Arabidopsis thaliana: one gene and its partners. The protein of the gene in region 2 interacts with the protein of the main gene of each other region in a pairwise test. Each region holds a gene or a part of one and is shown on either strand. Other genes may lie near its edges. The genes, in order: STK, SEP1, AG and SHP1.

Region 1 (7,101 bases), about 10 Mb from region 2:
TTCTATTTAATAAAATATTTTTAAAACCATATTAAAAAAGTATTAATTATATTAAGCCATATACTATATCGTTGGATTGGGGATGGAATCTATCTACGCCCCTATAATATTATTCGCAAAAATAAACTATCTAAAGTAAGATTTCTGAATTTAATTAATGTTTAGGCTGTCGTGAAAGAGCCATTTGACTTCCTAAACAGCGTAGTCTAAACATTGATGTAACAATAATTTGGGTGACTTATATTTGGTAACTTAGTAATACATAAAAGGGTTTTTGGATTTTAGAGTTTCGTGTGATTGACGAAGGAAAATAAAAACAAAATTTTGCTTAAGAAAGAGTCAAAGAGAAGATGGAAACTAGCTAGGGCAAATAAATGAGGAGATGCACCAATAACGTCAACATCTACTCTCTCTGTCTCTCTCTTCTGCAATAATACAATTTGCGTGTCACTTTCGAGCCCTAAATTAAGCTCTGCAATTTCACCTTTCTCTTTAATTTTCCACCAAAGAAATCTTAAATTTTAATATTTGCTTCTCAATATATAAATTATATATCATTTCAAAATTTACATTATACATATATTAATCTCAATATGTAGGTGTATATATAACACATTTATCTGTCAACTTTTCATTTCGTTTTTGTTGGGTATGTTCTCACTTTCTTGAAAGAATGAAACATATGTACGTACATTTACGTGGAAGTTATGTATATGTATTAAAATGTTTAAGTTAAGTAAAAGGTTAGGTTGTATAAATGATAAATCACACATGTCTAAATTAAAAAAAAAAACACTAATAACCAACGAGTGGTGGTACAATTATATATTTTGAGTGGTGCATAATTTTCTTTTGGATTTATGATAGGGTTCGTCTATTTTACTATTAACTAACAGTCTCACATATTTTTACTATTAATTCATCGTTGGTCACTATCGACGCTTTAATTTGCAAATTTAAACTTCATGTATTATTTAGTTAATGATTAGGTCATGGATTCTTCCAATTACAAAAATTATGCCTCAAATATGTTCCTTACATATGGCTGAAAATGGTTGTAAAAAAAAGTTAACGAATGTTTTTTTTTTTTTACTTTTTCCTTATTTTGTTTCTTTTTACCATTTTGGAGAGGAGATTAATTATTATAATCATCAAAAAACTGAAAATAACGAGAAAGTATTACAAGACAATAATGTGGTAAAATGTTGACTGTCTCAAAATACAAAATGTCGCTTAAGAAAGGAGCTATATATTTTCTACTGCTCGCAATCTTAGAATTAATTTTTAAAAATAATTTCAAAATTTTAGTAATAATATTATATGTTATGAACTAATTAAACCTTAATGTACTGCCAATCATATTAAGAATGAAATAAATATTTCTTATTGTTCTTTGTCAAAAAAAAAACTATTTCTTATTGTTTTATATATTTTAGTGAAACTATATAAATGTTTTTTTTGAAGTTTTCTTTGTAACCGGGAAATTAAAAAAACCGTGATTGCAATTGCAAAATTTGAGATTATAAATTCATAATGATAAGCCTAATCACTGAAACACCATGGTTTTATTATTTCACTTTTTTTTACCATGCAATTAATTTTTTTACCTCATTATATATCCAGTAATGAAAGTTAGAACAATTAATATAATTGCATCTTCGGAGATCCCAAATCTTGGTCTTGCCGTGAACTTGGCCAAAGTATGAAATGATGGCGCATGTAGCTTAGCTAGAGTCTCCATTTCTCTACAAAAATAAGAATTAAACAACAAATACTCACACTTAAGAGTTTTGTAGGAATCTTAAATACTACTAATACTTTATATGTGCGATTTAGCTTAAAAGAAAGGTTAAAATAACTTTTTTTGGTTGCTCGTTATTTTTTCCTTTCATTCTTAAAATTTTTTCTATTCAAAATTAAGATTCAGGTTTTTTTTTATAATATAGCAAATGCATTGGCAAGTGGCAACCGCAACCGCAGCAATCGCAATCTCACTTTGGACATTGGAAGGTGAGCAAAGAAAGAAACGTCTACAAATAGACATATTGAGTGAGAAGCTTAGGGTTTTTGAAGAGAAAAGAATTTGGGTTTGTTTTTGGGATTCTCAAAAAACTCAAAATAAACTTTCCTCATTTTTTTTTTCTTTCTTTTGTTTTGTTTTCTTTATAAAGGAGAAAGAAAGAGAAAGAGAGTTTCCGAAAGCTGAATTGAGTTGGGTGAAGCAAATTCTCAGGTCTGTCTGTCATGTCTTTACTTCTTCTTCTCATAAAGGAAAACACTTCTTGATCTCATCAAGTTCCCATCTTTGTACACATCTCTTCATTCAAAAACTCTACATTTATATCTCTATATATGCAGATTCCAAGCTTGTAATAATTCTTGTCATCATGGGTTTTTTTCTTGCCTTGTCTCTCCAGAAAACTTAATTTTCACAATTATGAATTATTTTCCTTATTTTTGTTACTTTCTTCTGTTTGATGCTCTTTCCCCATGAAAGAAAGAAAGAGAAAGAAAGATCACAAGGGTTTTATTTGGTCACCAGATTAAGAATTAGGTTATCTTTTTTTTTTTTTTAGTTTCTCACATGTAGATCTCTGCTAGATTCTCTTTCCTTTCTTGTCAGCTAAAGTGGAGTTTTTGAGTCTGAAAATCTTCCAAATCTGTTGTATTTCTTCTTCCTCTCTTCTCGAAACTAAGCATGGTTTTGTCTCTCTCTTCTTTCTGTGTAATAATGTTTCTTGTGTTTCCCTTATGTACTATAACTTCAGTTTCATGTGCATCAGTGCCTTCTTCTTCTTCCTCTTCAATATCAATTTGATTTGTTTTCTCTCTCCATATTTCCAATTTTTTTTCTTTATCAAAAGTTATTTAATCTTTTGCTCTGTGAAAACAAACTAAAGAATGCGTAAGAATGCCTACATACATCAGATCAATGAATTTGTAAGACATATTACATATGTCTAAAGTATTTACATCTTCCAGATCTAAGATCATTACGTATATGTTGTTTTCCATTTTGACCCCGTGAAGCCTTATAGACATTTATTGAAGAGGGAGGGAGATAGTACACGGGATGGGTCAAAATTATTTGTATCTGGGTACCAAAAAACCATGTAATATATTGTCAGATTTTATCTCCCTGGCTTTAAAAAAACAATTCCTGATGAGTTAGTTAAGTATATAGATAATACATATAGAACCTATCTAGCTAACAAGAATTACATGTAATATATATTAATAATCTTGTAATTTGAATAAATTCTTAAACTCTAGTTCCAACAACATCAGATTCAGTTGATTCTTGTCTGTCCTTGAGATCAATCAACAACATCCTTAATTGAATTTCCCGAGAAAGTTGGATACAGAAAGAAAACTTTTTTTTTAATATATATAACAAAAGTCGAGTTTGGTATGTATTAATTAAGTACATTAATTCAAACCCTAGCTTTAGTTTTTTTTTTATCTTCTTGCAGTCTGCCACTAGTTTGTGTGTTAATATTTATCTTACCAATACTGCCGAAATTGAGCAATTCTAAGTGTTGTTTGATGTTTAAAATGAAGGATGGGAAGAGGAAAGATAGAAATAAAGAGGATAGAGAACTCAACAAATCGACAAGTGACGTTTTGCAAAAGAAGAAATGGACTTCTGAAGAAAGCCTATGAGCTTTCGGTCCTTTGCGATGCAGAAGTTGCGCTCATTGTTTTCTCCACTCGTGGCCGTCTCTATGAATACGCCAATAACAAGTAAGCCATTTCATTTCAACCATAAATATCCTAATAAAACATATAAGGTTTGAAAAATGTGCCAACTTTTGTTTGTGATCGTTTGAGAAATGAATTTAGTGCATCATTACTATAAGAGCTACCATTAGATACATTAGAGCTACAAAAAAGATTTATCTTTTGCAATATTTTCGTATAGGTGTCTTAGTTTATGAAGTAAAATGATGCAAAATAATAGAGATAAAATATAGAAGAGATTGATCTAGAGATGAGATTTTTTGGTCTATACTCTATAGGTTGAACCATTTAAAAAAAAAAAAAATCTACACTAAGCAACACCATATAACAAATAACAAATACATTTTTTTTTTTGAATTTAATGTTAAATTATATTCAAAGAAAAAATAAACGTTTATACATGTAAATGCAAACTTTTCCTAGCATAATTATAAATTCCTATATCCTCGATGTTATCTCGATGCGAACCACACTTGGAGTCCTCCCACATATGAAGTTCTTAACAAATAACATATACATGTACATATGAAGTTTCAATTTCATGAGTCTATATTTACTTTTAGCTATATTTACATATGCATACCCATGAATATTTCATATTTGACAAAAGTAAACATAAATATACACAAGTCCAAAAGTAGTACTATATATACATACTATTTTTTTGACATCATATATACATACTATTTTTCATATATTACCTATGTATCTTGTGAAAATCTTAAAAGCCAGGTTATCAAAAAAAGAAAATCTTAAAGAGATAGAGAAAGAGAAAAATCTAGTACAATGGGTTTAAGTACCAAAATCATGCAAGCTAACTTGCAGTTGCAGTTGGTCAACAAGTCTTTTTGATTATTTTTTTGCTTTTGTCAAAGTTTTTCTTGGAACTTAAAACAATTGTGCAGCGAGAGATGTCATGTAGTTTTGTTGTACTCTTCTTTCCTCTTTCATCTTAAGCAGATCAGTCTATTGCTTCATGTTTTCTCCTTTCTTTTTTTGGCTCTTTCATCTTATATCCATTTCCTTTAAAGTCACTCACTTCAAACGATATTATATATCCAAAACATTCAGTTTCTTTTTTTCCTTTTTTACATGACACATAGTATCAACTCCACTTTCTGTCCTTCAGTTACAACCCAATTTTTAAATAAAGTTGCATATTTGAATACAAAAAAAACTTATTATTGTTCCACATTATTCAGAGTTTATATACATTGTTTGTAATTTGTTAATGATACAGGCAACATATATGATGATCTTCTTAATTACTTTATTAGTTAAACTATTAAGATCCTTCTACAGATGCAAATATTTTAATATATACGTTTTTTTTGACAAAACATGAAACAAAATTCATGAGATCTTATATATTTTAAAACATTTTAGGGTGTAATTAGCTCAGACTAATTGGGGTCTAATTGTTTATCTGTGTTTACGTTTAGACAAATAAAAAATGGTGGCCATAATATACTTGATTTGTTCTTTAGACACTAATTTTTAATTAATTAGACTACCACATTGCTAATAAATTGCATAAGTACTCTATGTTTCTGACTTAATTGGATTGTTATTTGTGACAGCATAAGATCAACCATTGAGAGGTACAAGAAAGCTTGTTCTGATAGCACCAACACTAGCACTGTCCAAGAAATCAATGCCGCGGTTTCACTTTTTGTCTCCATCTCTTTACTTCACTAACATCACATACGTATGCATATATGTTCTTATAGTTTGATGATGCTTGAAATACAGTACTATCAACAAGAATCTGCTAAGCTGAGACAACAGATCCAAACGATTCAAAACTCCAACAGGTTTTATATATATCTGAACTATATTTTACCATCTTTTCCAGCCATATATATATGTAAATTTATTGATTGTAACACATTTTTAATAACGTTTTAGGAATCTGATGGGAGACTCTTTGAGTTCCTTAAGTGTCAAGGAACTAAAACAAGTTGAGAATCGCCTTGAGAAAGCTATCTCTAGGATCAGGTCCAAGAAGGTATACATCTAAAACATATTACAAGACTCATCAGTTTCATGAATCTATGTTTATACAATACATATTCTAAATCTGCTCTTGTGAAAAACAGCATGAGTTGCTTTTAGTTGAAATCGAAAACGCGCAGAAAAGGGTAAGCAAAGCTCAAGTTGGTTGCTCTAAATTTTAATTGTGTGAATCTTTGAATATGGTATAGTTAATTTTGCAGGAGATTGAGCTTGACAATGAGAACATCTATCTAAGAACTAAGGTAATATTAGTGTGTGTGAAGTCCATAGACATGTCGAATCAATCACTTGTTATACTAATTTTTATGTTTCTTAACAGGTAGCAGAAGTGGAGAGGTATCAACAACACCATCATCAAATGGTTAGTGGTTCAGAGATTAATGCAATTGAAGCTTTAGCCTCACGCAATTACTTTGCTCATAGCATTATGACTGCTGGTTCTGGATCTGGTAATGGAGGTTCTTACTCTGATCCCGACAAGAAAATTCTTCATCTCGGATAATCTCGTCTGCGAAAAACCGAGCTGCAATAACTCTCTGCATGCATCTGGGGATTCTTTGCTCAGATTTATCTCTACATAAAATATGTTTTGGTGCAAAATAATTCAAAGTACAATGAAGGTATTGGTCCTTCAAGACTCATTGCAATTTGTGTTGTGTAATGATTAAGACATACTCTAGTTTTTATTGCTTCGTATCATAGTATCTATTCTATGGTATCTTATTTAGTGATTCATATGACCATAAAACATAGCATTTACATATTACTTAACAACAGAGAACATAACATATGTTTTTGATGTATTATTAGCTCATAGTACAATGAAGTATTAGTATAATAATCCTTCAAGACTTTGGTTTATTGTTTCATATCATACATACATAGAACATTTTAAGATATGATCAAAGAACAGTACATTTCTTGTTGAGTTCGGTGCGTAACGAAGCAGTTTCTTTCTCAGCTTTGTTGAGTTGTTCTCTTAGCCTCCTGATCTCATCAGAAGATAGTTTCTGAATTTCATTCATCTTTTTCTCCGTTTCCTCTCTCTCGGCTTGTGCTTTAGCTAATTGCTCCTTCACATCCTCCAATGATTCCTTCAGCTGATTAGAGATCTAACCAAAGAAAACAACAACTTGTAATGATGACATTATTCATTTATATACACGTTACATATAAACCAATGAATGAATTTAATCACCTTCTCTTTTATCCCCTCAAGCATTTCGTTATGCGATTTCTCTAGTTCCTTTTTCATTTGAGATATCTCTTGTTTTGAAGACCAACCTTTCATTTCTTCAATCTGCTTCTGCTTTTCCTTTATAGTGGCCTCATTCTCCTAGAACC
Region 2 (3,860 bases):
CGGGAAAGTTGGGACGGAAGTTGCTCGTCGTGCTAAGGGTCTTGGTATGCGTGTCATTGCTCATGATCCCTATGCCCCAGCAGACCGTGCACACGCCATTGGTGTTGACTTAGTGAGCTTTGATGAAGCCCTTGCCACCGCGGATTTCATTTCTCTTCATATGCCTCTTACGCCAACAACATCGAAGATACTAAACGACGAAACCTTTGCCAAAATGAAGAAGGGAGTTCGAATTGTTAATGTTGCTCGTGGAGGTGTCATAGACGAAGATGCGTTAGTGAGAGCTCTGGATGCTGGTATTGTTGCGCAGGCTGCACTTGATGTTTTCACCAAAGAGCCTCCGGCTAAAGATAGCAAGCTCGTGCAGCACGAGAGGGTCACTGTGACACCTCATCTTGGAGCTAGTACCATGGAGGCTCAGGTGTGCAATTCATTTTACAGTTCAGGTGATAATTAATCATGAAATTTCTGTTTGGCTTCTGTTATATAGTTGGTGTTTTGGCTTTGACAGGAAGGAGTTGCCATCGAAATTGCTGAAGCTGTTGTTGGAGCTCTGAATGGAGAGCTTGCTGCTACTGCAGTCAATGCACCTATGGTTTCTGCTGAGGTGAGCACTCGCTTGTGCTAGTAAATACACACATATTGGTGTTGTTTCAAAGAGGCAAACTTATCAGCCTATTTACTGTAGCTAGCCTGGGAATGAATGTAGCAAATTATATTTGTTCCGAGTTGGTTAGAAAGAAGTTAGTGAGCGGCAAAATTGTTGAAGTGAGGGTGGGTTTTCTAGGGATTTGTTTTAAGAGCCTCATTAATCAAGTTTCTGTGATTTCTGAATTGGATTTTAGACTAGCAAGGTTTATAGCTTTGTTCTTATCAGATTCAAGTTGGAAGATTTCAATTGTTAAGACTATCCATGTTTGTTATTTGCTCAAGCTTACATGCATTCTATCTGCAGGTTCTGACCGAGCTGAAACCATATGTGGTGCTAGCCGAGAAACTAGGAAGACTGGCAGTGCAACTGGTGGCCGGAGGAAGCGGTGTGAAAAACGCGAAAATCACATACGCCTCAGCAAGAGCCACTGATGATCTTGACACCAGACTTCTCCGAGCCATGATCACCAAGGGAATCATCGAGCCAATCTCTGACGTATATGTCAATTTGGTCAACGCTGATTTCACAGCCAAGCAGAGAGGTCTCAGACTCTCAGAGGAACGTGTGCTTTTGGATGGTTCACCAGAGAGCCCATTGGAGACAATAACTGTTCAGCTAAGCAATGTGGAGTCCAAATTCGCCAGTTCCCTGTCTGAATCAGGAGAGGTTAAAGTGGAAGGAAAGGTTAAAGACGGAGTCCCGCATTTGACAAAGGTTGGATCTTTTGAGGTCGATGTAACTCTTGAAGGTAGTATCATACTGTGCAGGCAGGTGGATCAACCTGGTATGATCGGGACTGTCGGAAGCATCCTTGGAGAGTCTAATGTCAATGTTAACTTCATGAGCGTTGGGAGAATTGCACCGAGGAAGCAAGCGATTATGGCGATTGGAGTAGATGACATACCAAGCAAAGAGACACTGAAGAAGATTGGGGAAATTCCAGCGGTTGAGGAGTTCGTTTTCCTCAAGCTCTAGTTTGGTGTGTTGTTGATTCTTGAATCTTAAATCTCACCGGTGAAGATTTGATGTTGTTTGTTGGTTTAGGCAATAATGTTATTTTGGCTTTCATACAGTTTTGGTAACGTTGAGAGTAGTGTCTCTTTGATGTTTCAACTTTATGGTTTCTATTACTTGAGTGCTTCTTTCTTCTCTGAATATTTATTTCCTGAATATTAGTGACCACAAATTGGTTTATAACCCAATTGAACGAACCGATGTAACTATCGTAGAGAATCTGTTAATTAAGCCAATCCAATTTTTCAAAATTGGTTTGGTTTGGTTCAGATTAGGTTCGGTTTGCTCTAAGAGATGCAGTTGTTTGTGAAACGCCACCGTTTTGGAAAACTGTGTAGCTCGAAAAGATACGAACTTAATGAGTGGAGAGAAAACACGTGTCCTCAGCTTGAACAGATAATTCTGCGACTCTTGAGAAAGGAAGACGAAGGAAGGAGAATAGTAGAAGAAGAAGAAAGGGAGAGTCTTGTGATATCTACGTAGAAGGAAGATGGCCTTATCTCAAGTGTCTGCGTCTCTCGCCTTTTCTCTTCCCAGTACTCTTTCTTTCTCTCTTCGCTACCCTTCTTCTTCCTCTAGTTGTACAATTGTCTCTATAATGTATGTATCTGACTAGTTTCGGATTTCATGTTTCCAGATTCTGGTGCCCTAAAGCTAGCCACAATCACAAACCCAACTTCTACATGTCGGGTTCATGTTCCGCAACTTGCTGGAATCCGATCCACCTTCGCTTCTGGTTCTCCTCTCTGTACGTCTTCCTTGCCCCTGAGAAAATTCTTCAATTCTCTACATTTTGAAGTTTAGTTTGAAATTGGGCTCAAATTTTGATATTTCTGATTACTGAATTGTTCATATATAGTTTGGTTATCTGAAATATGGGGCAACAATATTTATCATAAAGTTTTCTAATTTTGCTTTCTGCATTGTCTTTGTTAGCTGAGTAAATCCATGGAAAAATTGAAACTTTGTTTCTTTCGTTTTTGTATGTTGTGTGTGTCCGTTTCAGTGCCATTGAAGTTGAGTATGACCCGTAGAGGAGGAAACAGAGCAGCATCAGTTTCCATAAGAAGTGAGCAAAGTACAGAAGGAAGCAGTGGTTTGGATATATGGCTTGGTCGTGGCGCCATGGTTGGTTTTGCAGTTGCCATTACTGTTGAGATTTCCACTGGAAAAGGACTTCTTGAGGTAATCAAACATCATAACTGATATTGTTGCTTATATAAAAGTTGAAAGTTTGAGAAATGTAAGAGAAGTAGAATAACTTAAGATTTGATTTGTCTTCTTATTTCAGAATTTTGGAGTAGCAAGTCCATTGCCTACGGTTGCTTTAGCTGTTACAGCATTGGTTGGTGTTCTAGCTGCGGTTTTCATCTTCCAATCTTCTTCTAAAAACTGATCGACAAGAATCTTGTTTTGTGATGCTGCCGAGGATCATTTTCTTGTATTAAGAATCTTGTATTATATATCACTGTAACTTCTACATCCATCAGTGGAGAATCTTACATTCTTAGTTTTTTTTGGCAACATACATGATCTATACATGTCTTTTGGCCAAATCTTATTTTTATATTTTTAATACATGATCTATAACATGTATTAAGTTTGAAAACATAACAAAATTTTTGTAACAAAAATAACCAAAATATTATTTGAAAAAGAAATATCCAAAGTTTTAATAGTAATAATACAAAAATAGAAGTTTGAAAACATTTTTTAATAAATAAAAAAGTGTTAAAAATTTATCACAACGCTAACAAACAAATTCACCTAACCGTTTACTTTTAGAATCAGAAATAAACAACAAAAATAAACTTTCAGAAAGTTGCAGTTTCACATATGTTACAAACATCATCAGATTCTTTGAAACAAAACAGTAACCAAGAAGTTTCTTATGCATAGCTTTGTTCAAAATCAATACTTTGGAGTTAGTCAATTAAATTCATATGCAAATCTCTGACCTTTTGCTTTTGTAAGCTAAATGCATTGAAAAAAGGGAGAGGCTCTGGATCAGTGTGCTCATGGTGGGCCGGCCCATCACTATGGGCTGTCTAAAACAAAAACAATTTTGGAAGGCAAAAGGTATAATAACCCCGTCCCTGTATGTTGGGCTAGGCCTGTCCAGTATCCACCACCACTAACTCAATTCCCCCATTATTACAAATTTACAATCTCTCCACCAATTGGCCAACAATGG
Region 3 (7,575 bases), 6.0 Mb from region 2:
CTTTTGGCATAACCTTACTCCATTTATACATTGTGCTCCTCAATTATTCAACATTTTTTAAAAATAACTTATTTAACAAAATGTTAGAAAATATCTACCCAATTTTTTTCTTCCACATACGAGCTACAAAGATCTTTATCAAATAAAACAAGAAAGATTATTAATCCATATTTTGGGTTAAATTTTAATCCATTTAGCCAATTAGGAGAACTATTTTAACAGTTAGATACTTTTCAACAAAATTTATTAAGTAGTCACCTATGTATATTCATATAGTAGTTTCACAAACAATATGGAGAGCTGTGATCTTGAAGAGGGCGACAAAAGTCAAAAAGAAAATGTAAAAAAAGAGAGAGAGATTAAAGTAGTTGGAGAAGAGAGAAAAGTCTGGTTACCTTCTAATTGAGTCAGAAGCATTACACTTAAATAACTTTCCAAATTAAGCCCTACGTCTTGTCCAGCCCCTTAAAAGTACGCTTCATCTCCCTATTTCCCCTATAAACCCTAAAACCCTATTTATCTTATTAATTTATCATTTTTTTTATATGTCAATATCACAACAAGTAAACATCATCAACTTCAAATCTCACTAACATAAATAGTATGCTAATTTTCTTCACTATCTGAGTAATTTTCTCCTTCTTTTTACATCATTCGATTCTATATTTGCCACACCATTAAATAGATAAGTATATTGGTTCTTACTACTAATAATCAGTTTAGCCATATATCTAATTACACAGTTTTCTTTTATATGTTACTTTATATTTGTACACCATCAGTTACTATATACGGAATAAATTACACCTCATCATGTAATTACAATATTATCATAAATTTTTTGAAATTCTATTCTTTAATATTTTCAGTATCCAGAATCCATTTTCTTATATTTATTCTGGCAAAATAATGTAAAATGGTATCAAATATACAACACCATATATTTGTTTATAAATAACTTCCTTAATTAGTGAAACAAATTTTCCTGCAGAATGTCACTTAAATCTTTAAAACAATTCACAAAAGAAAAGGGAATAGAGCTGAAATTTTTTCCTCTTTAAAAAGATCAAGATTTAGTAAAAACTAGAAACAAAGAAGAAGATCGATATTTGTTGTAACAAAAAAATGTACTGATCAGATTTACCCAAAGATTTTAGTGCCTCAAAAACTTTCACATGAAAAGCAAAGACAAGTAATGGTAAGTAGAGTCTGCATCTCATGAGTGATTGCCCAACTTGAACCCTCTTTTCATTTAGACCTTTGTGAAAGACCACACAAGAACTACCCACCAATAACTCTCTCTTTTTTTCTTCATTTCCAAAAACTATTTATTCATTTCTACAATTTCTCAATTTGGGGGTGTCCTTAATAAGTATTATATTTATGAAAAGTCCGGATGTATGGTGGGTGTTATTTATGGTAATTAACACTATTTATTAATAATATTTTTCATGTGATTTCAAAAGCTGATGTACTCATGCTTTGTGAACCTTTAGATTGCTCTATGTCAATCTTTTATTTTAACCTATCATATGTCTAAATGTACTGAAAAGAAACACCAGTTTAATTAATTATACTTCCCTCATATATAACTATCAACCAAGTACAAAACTTTTGTCAATTCTCAAAATCAACTTTCACCACATAATTATCTAACATGTGTATGTTCCAAAACCAGTTTAAATAGAATTACTTTTCAGAAAATACATGTATATTAACTCTATCTAATAAAGAAGAAACACATACTTATCTCATAGATTCCATTCATAAAACTATGCTTTAGTGAGTAAGAAAACCAGTAATCAAACACAAATTGACAAGACACTATATGGATGTAAAAAGTGGGGAAAAATGGTGATAAATAGTAGAGAAAATTAAAAAGAAAAAAAATATTCCTTTATAAATGTATATACCCATCTCTTCACCAGCACAACCTTACCTTCCATTTTCTGCAACTTCTCCAAATCTCATACTTTCCAGAAAATCATTTTCCCAAGAAAAATAAAACTTTCCCCTTTGTTCTTCTCCCCCCAACAGGTCAGGCTAGTATTTTGTTGTTCCCCAATCCTTTCAAACATTATCTTCTTCATAATATTACTTTGCTTCACTTCTTTTGGTCCTTAAACCAAATTTTTGTTCTTCTTTAGTTTCCTTTTTTCCCGTTTTGATTTGATTCTTTTTATGTTATTTAGAGAGAAACAAGATTCACAAATTCTCTGATCTTCTTTAACTCTTTAAAACTTTTCTTTTTCACACTCTAGATTTAAATTATCCCTATGGTTACAAAACAATTTTGTTCTTAGTTTATAACTTGTGTATTACCATCCTTTCTTGATTAACTCTTGTTAGGAGAATATGAATGTAAGATCAATAAAGTTCTTCAACTTTATAATTCCTTCTATAAGATGTGTGTCGGCAACAGAATTAAATTAAATCTTTATAGTTTAACTTTAATCTCAACCATAATTCAAAAGAATAGAAAACATGAAGAATCTTGAGTCTTTTCAAGAAAATCTTGATTGGTTTTTTGTTGGATTCTTGTAATTCTGTACTAATCAAATTTTGCCCTAAACGTTTTTGGCTTTGGAGCAGCAATCACGGCGTACCAATCGGAGCTAGGAGGAGATTCCTCTCCCTTGAGGAAATCTGGGAGAGGAAAGATCGAAATCAAACGGATCGAGAACACAACGAATCGTCAAGTCACTTTTTGCAAACGTAGAAATGGTTTGCTCAAGAAAGCTTACGAGCTCTCTGTTCTTTGTGATGCTGAAGTCGCACTCATCGTCTTCTCTAGCCGTGGTCGTCTCTATGAGTACTCTAACAACAGGTTTCTTCTTCTTCTCGTGCTCTGTTCTTACTTTATTAATAATTAAATTATTTTTAAAGTCCGATTTAGGGTTTTATGTTTATGTTAAAGCATAAATCTTTTACGAGGGTTTTCGATCTTCTAAGCTAGATTTGATTCTCTTCTTCTTGAATGCTCTTATGGGTAGGATTATTTTTCACTTTTTTCCTTCATATTCCACACACATATATATATAAACACACTAACATTAGTGGGAATATTTGTTTGATATGTTTATTTTATTTACTTCGGGGGTTTTTGTAACAATTTTGTAGATCTAATTTCTTGTTCTTCATGTGTATATTAATTTTCCCTTAAGACTTAAATAAAAAGAGAGAATTTGTTATATATAGATATATGAAGTGAGGGAAATGGTACAAAGTTAAAGGAGATCTGAGTGAGAGTTAGATAATAAATGAAAAGAAATAAGAAACCATCAGGGTTTTTTCTAATGTGGAGTTTTAGATTCAGTTTTGTAGAACTAAGATTCACTTTGTTGGGTGTTCTTTCTTCACTCATTTCTGTTATTATAATAATAATAAAATCTTATATCTTTCTATTTTCCTTACTAACAAGTACTTGAAGATTTAGATATATTTATAGATCTGGTGTTGTAATAGGTAAAAACTTGATTTTTATGACTATAAAAGTAAGTTTTGGGAAACAAATTGGGGAGAGAGTAAGGAAGGACTATGAGGTCATATCTTCTGTTTTGTGATCATCCATCCTCCATTGTTGTTAATGTCTGTGTCTCTCTTTTTCTTCTCTTCTTTCTCTTACTTTCCTTTCTTATCTCTAGCTCTCTTTCTCTCTCATGAATTATATCATATCATATATTTGATACAAACACATGTGATGGTAAGTGAGAGTGAATAAGGTGAAACTAGCTAGATTTTTGAGTTTTCATGAAATTTTAACTTATATGAGTGATAGAAAATAATGGAACTTATACGTACATGTAGGACAATTTAGATGGTTATCTAAGTTTTTGTTTTTGTTTTCTCTTGAGAATGTTAAATGTTAGTGTTATTTTTGTAGTTTTGGAAAATTATATATGAGCTAAGATTAGTTTAGAAGTGGTCAAAAGAAACATAGATTTGAAATTTCAACTGAATTTTCAAGATTTCAAATAGTCAATGAAACAAGGAGGTAATTAAGACAAATTAGCTTATGGGGACTCTTTTTTGTTATTCCTTAAAATTACTCTTTTTAAAATTAAAAATAACTAATCTCATTTCGAACTACATTACTCAAACTAGTAATCTCTAATTCGACACGCAATTTCCAAATACTTATTAGTAGAGAGTCCCACGTGATTACTTTCTTCTCCACCAAAACATAAAACATGTCAAGATTAAATGGTGTTTGAAAATTAAAAGATCAATTTTCTTAATCGTTTACAGTTGTCAACTCTCATGTCCTGAAATATATAATTCTCATGTCCAAAACAAGAAAAGCTAACAACGACTTCAAATTAAATCAGTCAATCAAAATTAGTCTTCATTTACCTACTAATTTCTTTTTATATATCCGATGGGTACTCTACGAAATCAGAGTTTCGTTTCTTTATTTATTTTCTTTTATAAGATTTTTGAGGTTTTTTCAGAGGTTGGAATTGAGCGCAAGATTAGGTTTTGGGTCTGTAAGATTTGTTGTCTTTGTTAAAGAATCTTTGATCACGTCATCACTCAGATATTATTTCTTTTTATTTTTCACTTGTATTTTTACTAATTTATTATAAAGTTTTGTTAGTTTCAGTTCTTGACTTCTGACAAGAAGGTTTTATGTCATAATGAATTAATTTGTAACCTATTTATAAATTCAAAAATGTCATCATATTACTACTTTTGACCATTTAATATTAGATTTCTCATTTGGTCAATACCCAATGTTCATATTACATATATAGAGACAAAAATTATAAGGATACTAAATTGTTCATATTTCTTGGAAGTAAAAAGATTAATGATCACTGAATAAATAGATTTGGCATAGAAGTATAGCATTGGAATTGCTTCAACATCTTTGGTGTAGATAGATTTATGCAATTTCTCTTTCTTTTTGAAGTATCTTTTTTTTTTCTAGAGAGAGAATAATGTTAGGGATTTTTATCATTTTCTCTCTCATTATGGGTACTGAGAGGAAAGTGAGATTTTTAGTACGGATCCAATAGTTTAAGAGTTTGGTCTGCCTTCTACGATCCAAAAAAATCTACGGTCATGATCTCTCCATCGAGAAGGTTGAGAGTTCAGACATCAAAGTCTATAATATGTCATTGTAATACGTATTTGTGTATATATATCTATGTACAAGTACATATACAGGAAACTCAAGAAAAAAGAATAAATGGTAAATTTAATTATATTCCAAATAAGGAAAGTATGGAACGTTGTGATGTTACTCGGACAAGTCATTTAGTTACATCCATCACGTTTAAATTTAATCCAATGGTTACAATTTTAATACTATCAAATGTCTATTGGATTTATACCCAATGTGTTAATGGGTTGTTGACACATGTCACATGTCTGAAACCCTAGACATGTTCAGACCAATCATGTCACTCTAATTTTGCCAGCATGGCAGTTGGCAGCCAATCACTAGCTCGATAAATTTAAGGTTTCAGAGGAATTTTAATTTATTTAGGGTTCATATTGTTTCATAAAATGATTCTTTATTTGTTACAACTTTAAGGAAATATTTTATTAACTATTTAATTGTTCCCTTTTCTTATATTACTTTTGTTTTTTCTTCACATCATGTGTCACATTAAGTTGCATTTCTTCTGACTCAAAAGAACCGATGTTTGCTTTTAAGGTTTCGTATTAGAATCACTTAACTGTGCAAGTGGTCGATTTGACCCTATCAATTTTATTTTTTATTACTTATCAAAATGCAGATTTAAGCGTAGATTAAGTTTAGAAAATAGGTAGTTAATAGGTCTAATTAACTTATTAATTCCTTTAAAAAAATTATTGCAGTGTAAAAGGGACTATTGAGAGGTACAAGAAGGCAATATCGGACAATTCTAACACCGGATCGGTGGCAGAAATTAATGCACAGGTAAGTGGTAACTTAATATTACACGAATGATTTTAATTAATATATGATGACATGACAACATTGTTCATTCTTTTACTCTTTTTTTTTTTGTTGTTGTTGTAGTATTATCAACAAGAATCAGCCAAATTGCGTCAACAAATAATCAGCATACAAAACTCCAACAGGTTAATTATCTAACTGACTTGAAATATTTGATTACTTGGTTGTTATTAACTATTTGATATATTAACATATGTTGATAAATCAATTAGGCAATTGATGGGTGAGACGATAGGGTCAATGTCTCCCAAAGAGCTCAGGAACTTGGAAGGCAGATTAGAGAGAAGTATTACCCGAATCCGATCCAAGAAGGTAATTCTATTTTTTTTATAAATGCTTCAATATAATATCAAATTAAATCTATATGCCTTGTTGCTAATTTTTGTTTAATTTTACAGAATGAGCTCTTATTTTCTGAAATCGACTACATGCAGAAAAGAGTAAGAAATAAATCTTAACTTAATTTCTATTCTTAATATGTTCTTATAATAATTTTGCTCATTTGCATTGCACCGATTAAGCAGGAAGTTGATTTGCATAACGATAACCAGATTCTTCGTGCAAAGGTAAAAGTACACATTATATATCAATTTCTATAATTTTCCCTATTGTTTCAATAAATATTATATGAAAACGATTAAAATGGTGAAAGTACTTGTAGATAAATAGTTTATGACATATATTTGTGTAATGTAGATAGCTGAAAATGAGAGGAACAATCCGAGTATAAGTCTAATGCCAGGAGGATCTAACTACGAGCAGCTTATGCCACCACCTCAAACGCAATCTCAACCGTTTGATTCACGGAATTATTTCCAAGTCGCGGCATTGCAACCTAACAATCACCATTACTCATCCGCGGGTCGCCAAGACCAAACCGCTCTCCAGTTAGTGTAAGGACACAAAATCTTGCTCCGATCAATCATTCTAGTCTTATATTATTAATCGGTCCATTTTGTAAAACTTGACAGCATGGATTTGGTCTTTTATGCTGTTTTGTAGGTAATATAGGCTGAAGGAAATGGCCGGGAGTGAATAAAAACCAGAATTGGGTTGAGCAAGCAATATAAAGCTAATGCATGTTATATATATATTTATCCCATGAATGTTGTATCAGTGAATTTTATGCTTATGTTGATGTGAAATTAATATCTTAAAGACATGTCATTAATGTGCTTAATTTGCTTCAAAACATCTATGTGTATAAGTGTACTATTAGTTCAATTGTTGTATTTAATTACCAATTCCTGCTCTATTAATGATTTTATTATAGAAAAGTCTCAATATGATAATGATATATATTCATGTGCTGAGTTCCATCCTCCTCCTCCTTCTCCCCATGTGGTACAGTTGCAAAATGTCGAAACATTCGTTCATTTTGTAGCTGCCTACCAGGAATACATTCACCACCCGGTCTCAATATCTCGCGTCTTGCTCGGTGAAAACACATACAAGAGTATTAACCATATTTTCTTTAAATGCACATACAATAGCTTATCTCTGCCTAGCTTCATTTCGTAAACCAAGAGCAAACATTATCGGATGGCTCCATACCTGTTCTCAATAAATCATGGTCATAATCAAGCTCATTTTCCTAGCCTCCGGTTACTAGATTTTGTATGGAACGC
Region 4 (5,782 bases), on a different chromosome or scaffold from region 2:
AAGAGGTTTTGACAATGCCAGAGATAATGCTTATTCCCTAATATGTTGCCAGCCAAGTGTCAAATTGGCTTTTTAAATATGGATTTCTGTATCAGTGGTCATATTTGTGGATCCAACGTATTCATCATCAAGTTCTCAAGTTTGCTTTCAGTGCAATTCTAATTCACACGTTTAACTTTAACATGCATGTCATTATTATTACTTCTTCACTAAGACACAATACGGCAAACCTTTCAGATTATATTATCTCCATAAATGAAATAATTAACCTCATAATCAAGATTCAATGTTTCTAAATATATATGGACAAAATTTACACGGAAGATTAGATACGTATATTAGTAGATTTAGTCTTTCGTTTGTGCGATAAGATTAACCACCTCATAGATAGTAATATCATTGTCAAATTCCTCTCGGTTTAGTCGCTAAATTGTATCTTTTTTAAGCCTAAAAGTAGTGTATTCGCATATGACTTCTCGTCCTAACTTTTTTTTTAATTAACAAAAAAATCGAAAAGAAAATAATCTGTTAAATATTTTTTAAGTACTCCATTAAGTTTAGTTTCTATTTAAAAAATGCTTGAAATTTGACAGTTATGTTCAACAATTTTGAATCATGAGCGATGTCTAGATACTCAGAATTTAATCAAGATGTCTTATCAAATTTGTTGTCACTCGAGGACCCACGCAAAAGAAAAGACTAATATGATTTTTATTTGGTCTGGATATTTTTGTAGAGGATGAAACTAAGAGAGTGAAAGATTCGAAATCCACAATGTTCAAGAGAGCTCAAAGCACAAAGAAAAATGAAGATGAAGGACTAAAGAACAATAAGCAACTACTTATACCCTATTTCCCATAAAGGATTCAGGTACTAGGAGAAGTTGAGGCAAGTTTCACATGCAAGTCCCTGTCATCATATATCCATATTATACCACACCTACGTCTCTATGTGTATTTCTTGGCATCGACTTTCTCATGAATGATTCAAATTTTCATTTATTTTTACAATTTAATTCACCTAAGATTATTATGCATTTCTCATCATTGGTACATTTTCTGTATAGCGTATTTACATATATGAAATAAATTAAATATGTCCTCACGTTGCAAGTAGTTAATGAATGTCCCCACGCAAAAAAAAAATCCCTCCAAATATGTCCACCTTTTCTTTTTAATTCCAAAATTACCATAAACTTTTGGTTTACAAAAGATTTCTAGAAATTGAGGAAGATATCCTAAATGATTCATGAATCCTTCAATAATCTGAAGTTTGCGATATTTTCCGATTTTCTTCAAGAGTTGCGATATTTGTAATTTGGTGACCTTAAAACTTTTTTTGATAAAGAGTAAAACGTTTTTTCTTAAAAGTAAAACTTGATTTTATGTTTTAGGGTTCTAGCTCAACTTTGTATTATATTTCTTGCAAAAAGAGTTCGTTAACTGCATTCTTCAACACTATAAAGTGATTATCAAAAACATCTTCATGAACATTAAGAAAAACAATATTTGGTTTCGGTTAGAGCTTGGTTTTGCTTGGCTTGATTCACATACCCATTCTAGACTTTGGCATAAATTTGATACGATAGAGAGCATCTAATGGTAATGCAGAAGGGTAAAAAAGGAAGAGAGAAAAGGTGAGAAAGATTACCAAAAATAAGGAGTTTCCAAAAGATGGTTCTGATGAGAAACAGAGCCCATCCCTCTCCTTTTCCCCTTCCCATGAAAGAAATCGGATGGTCCTCCTTCAATGTCCTCCACCTACTCTTCTCTTCTTTCTTTTTTTCTTTCTTATTATTAACCATTTAATTAATTTCCCCTTCAATTTCAGTTTCTAGTTCTGTAAAAAGAAAATACACATCTCACTTATAGATATCCATATCTATTTATATGCATGTATAGAGAATAAAAAAGTGTGAGTTTCTAGGTATGTTGAGTATGTGCTGTTTGGACAATTGTTAGATGATCTGTCCATTTTTTTCTTTTTTCTTCTGTGTATAAATATATTTGAGCACAAAGAAAAACTAATAACCTTCTGTTTTCAGCAAGTAGGGTCTTATAACCTTCAAAGAAATATTCCTTCAATTGAAAACCCATAAACCAAAATAGATATTACAAAAGGAAAGAGAGATATTTTCAAGAACAACATAATTAGAAAAGCAGAAGCAGCAGTTAAGTGGTACTGAGATAAATGATATAGTTTCTCTTCAAGAACAGTTTCTCATTACCCACCTTCTCCTTTTTGCTGATCTATCGTAATCTTGAGAACTCAGGTAAGGTTGTGAATATTATGCACCATTCATTAACCCTAAAAATAAGAGATTTAAAATAAATGTTTCTTCTTTCTCTGATTCTTGTGTAACCAATTCATGGGTTTGATATGTTTCTTGGTTATTGCTTATCAACAAAGAGATTTGATCATTATAAAGTAGATTAATAACTCTTAAACACACAAAGTTTCTTTATTTTTTAGTTACATCCCTAATTCTAGACCAGAACATGGATTTGATCTATTTCTTGGTTATGTATTCTTGATCAGGAAAAGGGATTTGATCATCAAGATTAGCCTTCTCTCTCTCTCTCTAGATATCTTTCTTGAATTTAGAAATCTTTATTTAATTATTTGGTGATGTCATATATAGGATCAATGGAGGAAGGTGGGAGTAGTCACGACGCAGAGAGTAGCAAGAAACTAGGGAGAGGGAAAATAGAGATAAAGAGGATAGAGAACACAACAAATCGTCAAGTTACTTTCTGCAAACGACGCAATGGTCTTCTCAAGAAAGCTTATGAACTCTCTGTCTTGTGTGATGCCGAAGTTGCCCTCGTCATCTTCTCCACTCGTGGCCGTCTCTATGAGTACGCCAACAACAGGTACGCTTCTCCTACTCTATTTCTTGATCTTGTTTTCTTAATTTTAACTAAACAAGATCCTAGTTCAAATGATAACAAAGTGGGGATTGAGAGCCAAGATTAGGGTTTGGTTAATTTAGAAAACCAGATTTCACTTGTTGATACATTTAATATCTCTCTAGCTAGATTTAGTACTCTCTCCTCTATATATGTGTGGGTGTGTGTGTAAGTGTGTATATGTATGCAAATGCAAGAAGAAGAAGAAAAAGTTATCTTGTCTTCTCAAATTCTGATCAGCTTTGACCTTAGTTTCACTCTTTTTTCTGCAAATCATTTGAACCTGATGCATGTCAGTTTCTACAATACACTTTTAATTTTGACGGCCCATCAAATTTCCTAGGGTTTACTTCAGTGAAAAAAATTGGGTTCTTGACACGATTTAGCATATATATATAAAAATAGGGGATGATCAAGACTTATGTAACCTCTGTCTGGTGAAACTAGGGACAAAGTCTACTGATGAGTTGTCACTAGGGATCCATTTGATCATTTAATCCCAACAAAAATGAAACAAAATTTTGAGAATTTATATGCTGAAGTTTTTCAACCCTCTTTTTTAAATAACTTTATATTATGTAGATTTGTATTTAGGGTAATTTGTCCAACTAGAAGTCCTAAAAATCAATAAACACACGGATGACTTTGTCTAACATTGTTATCAGTCATCAAATGTAAAATTGTACAAATAATGAAATTAAAGATTTAGTCTCTTTTATTTTTTTTGTTTAGGGTGTATATATATATATATATGTATATTTGTTGCATTGATATATCAATGAGAGGGAGAGAACTCAGAGAAGTGTCGGAAATTAAAATGGTACGAGCCAATTGGAATCTCTGGCATTCTGAGCTTCATTTATTTGTTATTAGAAAAAAAAAAAAAAAAAAGTCCTTTAAAGATACCTTCATGATGACATTGAATCATGTAATATACACGATACATGGTCTAATTCCTCCTCAAACCCTAATTACCAATTTCGAAACCATAATATTTACTAGTATGTTTATATATCCTTACTTTAAGACATTGTTTGTTTATAATACCTTGTGAATTAAGAAAAAAAAAAAAACTTGTGGATCTATTCAAGCCATGTGTTAGAATAAATTTATAAATTTTCTCCTCGTACTGGTCAGATATTGGTCCAAACTCCAAAGCCTTCCCTTTTCAGGAAAAAAAACATTTCGAAATTAACTCTAATTAATCAAGAATTTCCTACAATGTATACATCTAATGTTTTTTCCGCGATCTTACTTATTAGTGTGAGGGGTACAATTGAAAGGTACAAGAAAGCTTGTTCCGATGCCGTCAACCCTCCTTCCGTCACCGAAGCTAATACTCAGGTACCAATTTATATTGTTTGATTCTCTTTGTTTTATCTTCTTCTTTTCATTATATATATGATCAACAAAAAATATAACCTACAAAAAGAGAGAGTTCTTGGAAATGCATTGAAACGGTTTCGTTATGGTGTTTGAATACATGGATTTTTGAAGTACTATCAGCAAGAAGCCTCTAAGCTTCGGAGGCAGATTCGAGATATTCAGAATTCAAATAGGTAATTCATTAACTTTTCATGAACTCTTCGATTTGGTATTAGGTCACTTAATTTGGTGTCGGTCCAAAAGTCCGCTTGTAGTTTTCTTTAGAAGTTGTTTTGTTTAATGTTCATGTTTACAAATTGAAGGCATATTGTTGGGGAATCACTTGGTTCCTTGAACTTCAAGGAACTCAAAAACCTAGAAGGACGTCTTGAAAAAGGAATCAGCCGTGTCCGCTCCAAAAAGGTAAAATCTACGTTGCTCTCTCTCTGTGTCTCTGTCTCTCTCTCTATATATAGTCCCTTAGTTTATATAGTTCATCACCCTTTTGTGAGAATTTTGCAGAATGAGCTGTTAGTGGCAGAGATAGAGTATATGCAGAAGAGGGTAAGAACGTTTCTCCCATTCCAAGTAATTAGATCTTTCTTCGTCTTTGTGAGGGTTTGAGTTTTCCCATAAATCATGTGTAGGAAATGGAGTTGCAACACAATAACATGTACCTGCGAGCAAAGGTTAGCCACGTTCTGTTCCAAATCTTAATCTCAATATCTACTCTTTTCTTCATTGTATAACTAAGATAACGTGAATAACAAGAAAACTTTTGTTTTTGGGTTTAATAGATAGCCGAAGGCGCCAGATTGAATCCGGACCAGCAGGAATCGAGTGTGATACAAGGGACGACAGTTTACGAATCCGGTGTATCTTCTCATGACCAGTCGCAGCATTATAATCGGAACTATATTCCGGTGAACCTTCTTGAACCGAATCAGCAATTCTCCGGCCAAGACCAACCTCCTCTTCAACTTGTGTAACTCAAAACATGATAACTTGTTTCTTCTCCTCATAACGATTAAGAGAGAGACGAGAGAGTTCATTTTATATTTATAACGCGACTGTGTATTCATAGTTTAGGTTCTAATAATGATAATAACAAAACTGTTGTTTCTTTGCTTAATTACATCAACATTTAAATCCAAAGTTCTAAAACACGTCGAGATCCAAAGTTTGTCATACAAGATTAGACGCATACACGATCAGTTAATAGATTTTAAGTGCCTTTTAATATTTACATATAGTTGCAGCTTCGATTAGATCATGTCCACCAAACACTCACAATTAGAGACAAGCAAAACTATAAACATTGATCATAAAATCATTACAACATGTCCATAAATTAATTATGGATTACAAAAATAAAAACTTACAAAAGATCTATAATGTGATAAATTAATGTGTAGCTATAATTAAACAAAATTACATTTTTTACTATAGTTACTACTTGAGATAATGATCTCAAAAAGAAGCTTCATACGCTTAAAGTCTAATTTGAT

Evidence for each region.
Region 1: the proteins of SEP1 (region 2) and STK interact in a two-hybrid assay, tested with the Arabidopsis thaliana proteins (one study listed by BioGRID).
Region 3: the proteins of SEP1 (region 2) and AG interact in a two-hybrid assay, tested with the Arabidopsis thaliana proteins (one study listed by BioGRID).
Region 4: the proteins of SEP1 (region 2) and SHP1 interact in a two-hybrid assay, tested with the Arabidopsis thaliana proteins (one study listed by BioGRID).

The regions. Positions count from the first base shown.
Region 1 is NC_003075.7:6,235,871-6,242,971, reverse strand, and holds STK (K-box region and MADS-box transcription factor family protein), read left to right. Parts: upstream 1-1,690; 5' UTR 1,691-1,848; intron 1,849-1,946; 5' UTR 1,947-1,949; coding exon 1,950-2,233; exon of another isoform or gene 2,234-2,477; coding exon of another isoform or gene 2,478-2,554; exon of another isoform or gene 2,555-2,911; coding exon of another isoform or gene 2,912-2,940; exon of another isoform or gene 2,941-3,111; coding exon of another isoform or gene 3,112-3,113; intron 3,114-3,561; coding exon 3,562-3,744; intron 3,745-5,321; coding exon 5,322-5,403; intron 5,404-5,493; coding exon 5,494-5,555; intron 5,556-5,649; coding exon 5,650-5,749; intron 5,750-5,840; coding exon 5,841-5,882; intron 5,883-5,945; coding exon 5,946-5,999; intron 6,000-6,076; coding exon 6,077-6,259; 3' UTR 6,260-6,597; downstream 6,598-7,101. Other genes in the region: AT4G09950 (P-loop containing nucleoside triphosphate hydrolases superfamily protein), read right to left, coding at 6,660-6,869, 6,956-7,093. UniProt on the Arabidopsis thaliana protein: Probable transcription factor. Is required, together with TT16/AGL32 for the maternal control of endothelium formation, which is essential for female gametophyte development and fertilization, and seed formation.
Region 2 is NC_003075.7:16,371,808-16,375,667, reverse strand, and holds SEP1 (stress enhanced protein 1), read left to right. Parts: upstream 1-1,931; 5' UTR 1,932-2,156; coding exon 2,157-2,202; intron 2,203-2,303; coding exon 2,304-2,414; intron 2,415-2,672; coding exon 2,673-2,851; intron 2,852-2,957; coding exon 2,958-3,062; 3' UTR 3,063-3,335; downstream 3,336-3,860. Other genes in the region: EDA9 (D-3-phosphoglycerate dehydrogenase), read left to right, coding at 1-421, 512-607, 956-1,627. UniProt on the Arabidopsis thaliana protein: May be involved in non-photochemical quenching, a process that maintains the balance between dissipation and utilization of light energy to minimize generation of oxidizing molecules, thereby protecting the plant against photo-oxidative damage.
Region 3 is NC_003075.7:10,381,320-10,388,894, forward strand, and holds AG (K-box region and MADS-box transcription factor family protein), read left to right. Parts: upstream 1-1,536; 5' UTR 1,537-2,361; intron 2,362-2,592; 5' UTR 2,593-2,597; coding exon of another isoform or gene 2,598-2,721; coding exon 2,722-2,827; intron 2,828-5,662; coding exon 5,663-5,752; intron 5,753-5,826; coding exon of another isoform or gene 5,827-5,834; coding exon 5,835-5,908; intron 5,909-6,010; coding exon 6,011-6,072; intron 6,073-6,159; coding exon 6,160-6,259; intron 6,260-6,345; coding exon 6,346-6,387; intron 6,388-6,471; coding exon 6,472-6,513; coding exon of another isoform or gene 6,514-6,546; exon of another isoform or gene 6,547-6,643; coding exon 6,644-6,840; intron 6,841-6,949; coding exon 6,950-6,953; 3' UTR 6,954-7,220; downstream 7,221-7,575. Other genes in the region: AT4G18970 (GDSL-like Lipase/Acylhydrolase superfamily protein), read right to left, coding at 7,556-7,575. UniProt on the Arabidopsis thaliana protein: Probable transcription factor involved in the control of organ identity during the early development of flowers. Is required for normal development of stamens and carpels in the wild-type flower.
Region 4 is NC_003074.8:21,736,504-21,742,285, forward strand, and holds SHP1 (K-box region and MADS-box transcription factor family protein), read left to right. Parts: upstream 1-1,656; 5' UTR 1,657-2,272; intron 2,273-2,379; exon of another isoform or gene 2,380-2,628; coding exon of another isoform or gene 2,629-2,646; coding exon 2,647-2,873; exon of another isoform or gene 2,874-3,413; intron 3,414-3,762; coding exon of another isoform or gene 3,763-3,800; intron 3,801-3,969; coding exon of another isoform or gene 3,970-4,006; intron 4,007-4,171; coding exon 4,172-4,253; intron 4,254-4,406; coding exon 4,407-4,468; intron 4,469-4,597; coding exon 4,598-4,838; intron 4,839-4,921; coding exon 4,922-4,963; intron 4,964-5,071; coding exon 5,072-5,263; downstream 5,264-5,782. UniProt on the Arabidopsis thaliana protein: Probable transcription factor. Interacts genetically with TT16/AGL32 in a partially antagonistic manner during flower development. Is essential for the coordination of cell divisions in ovule, seed coat development and endosperm formation.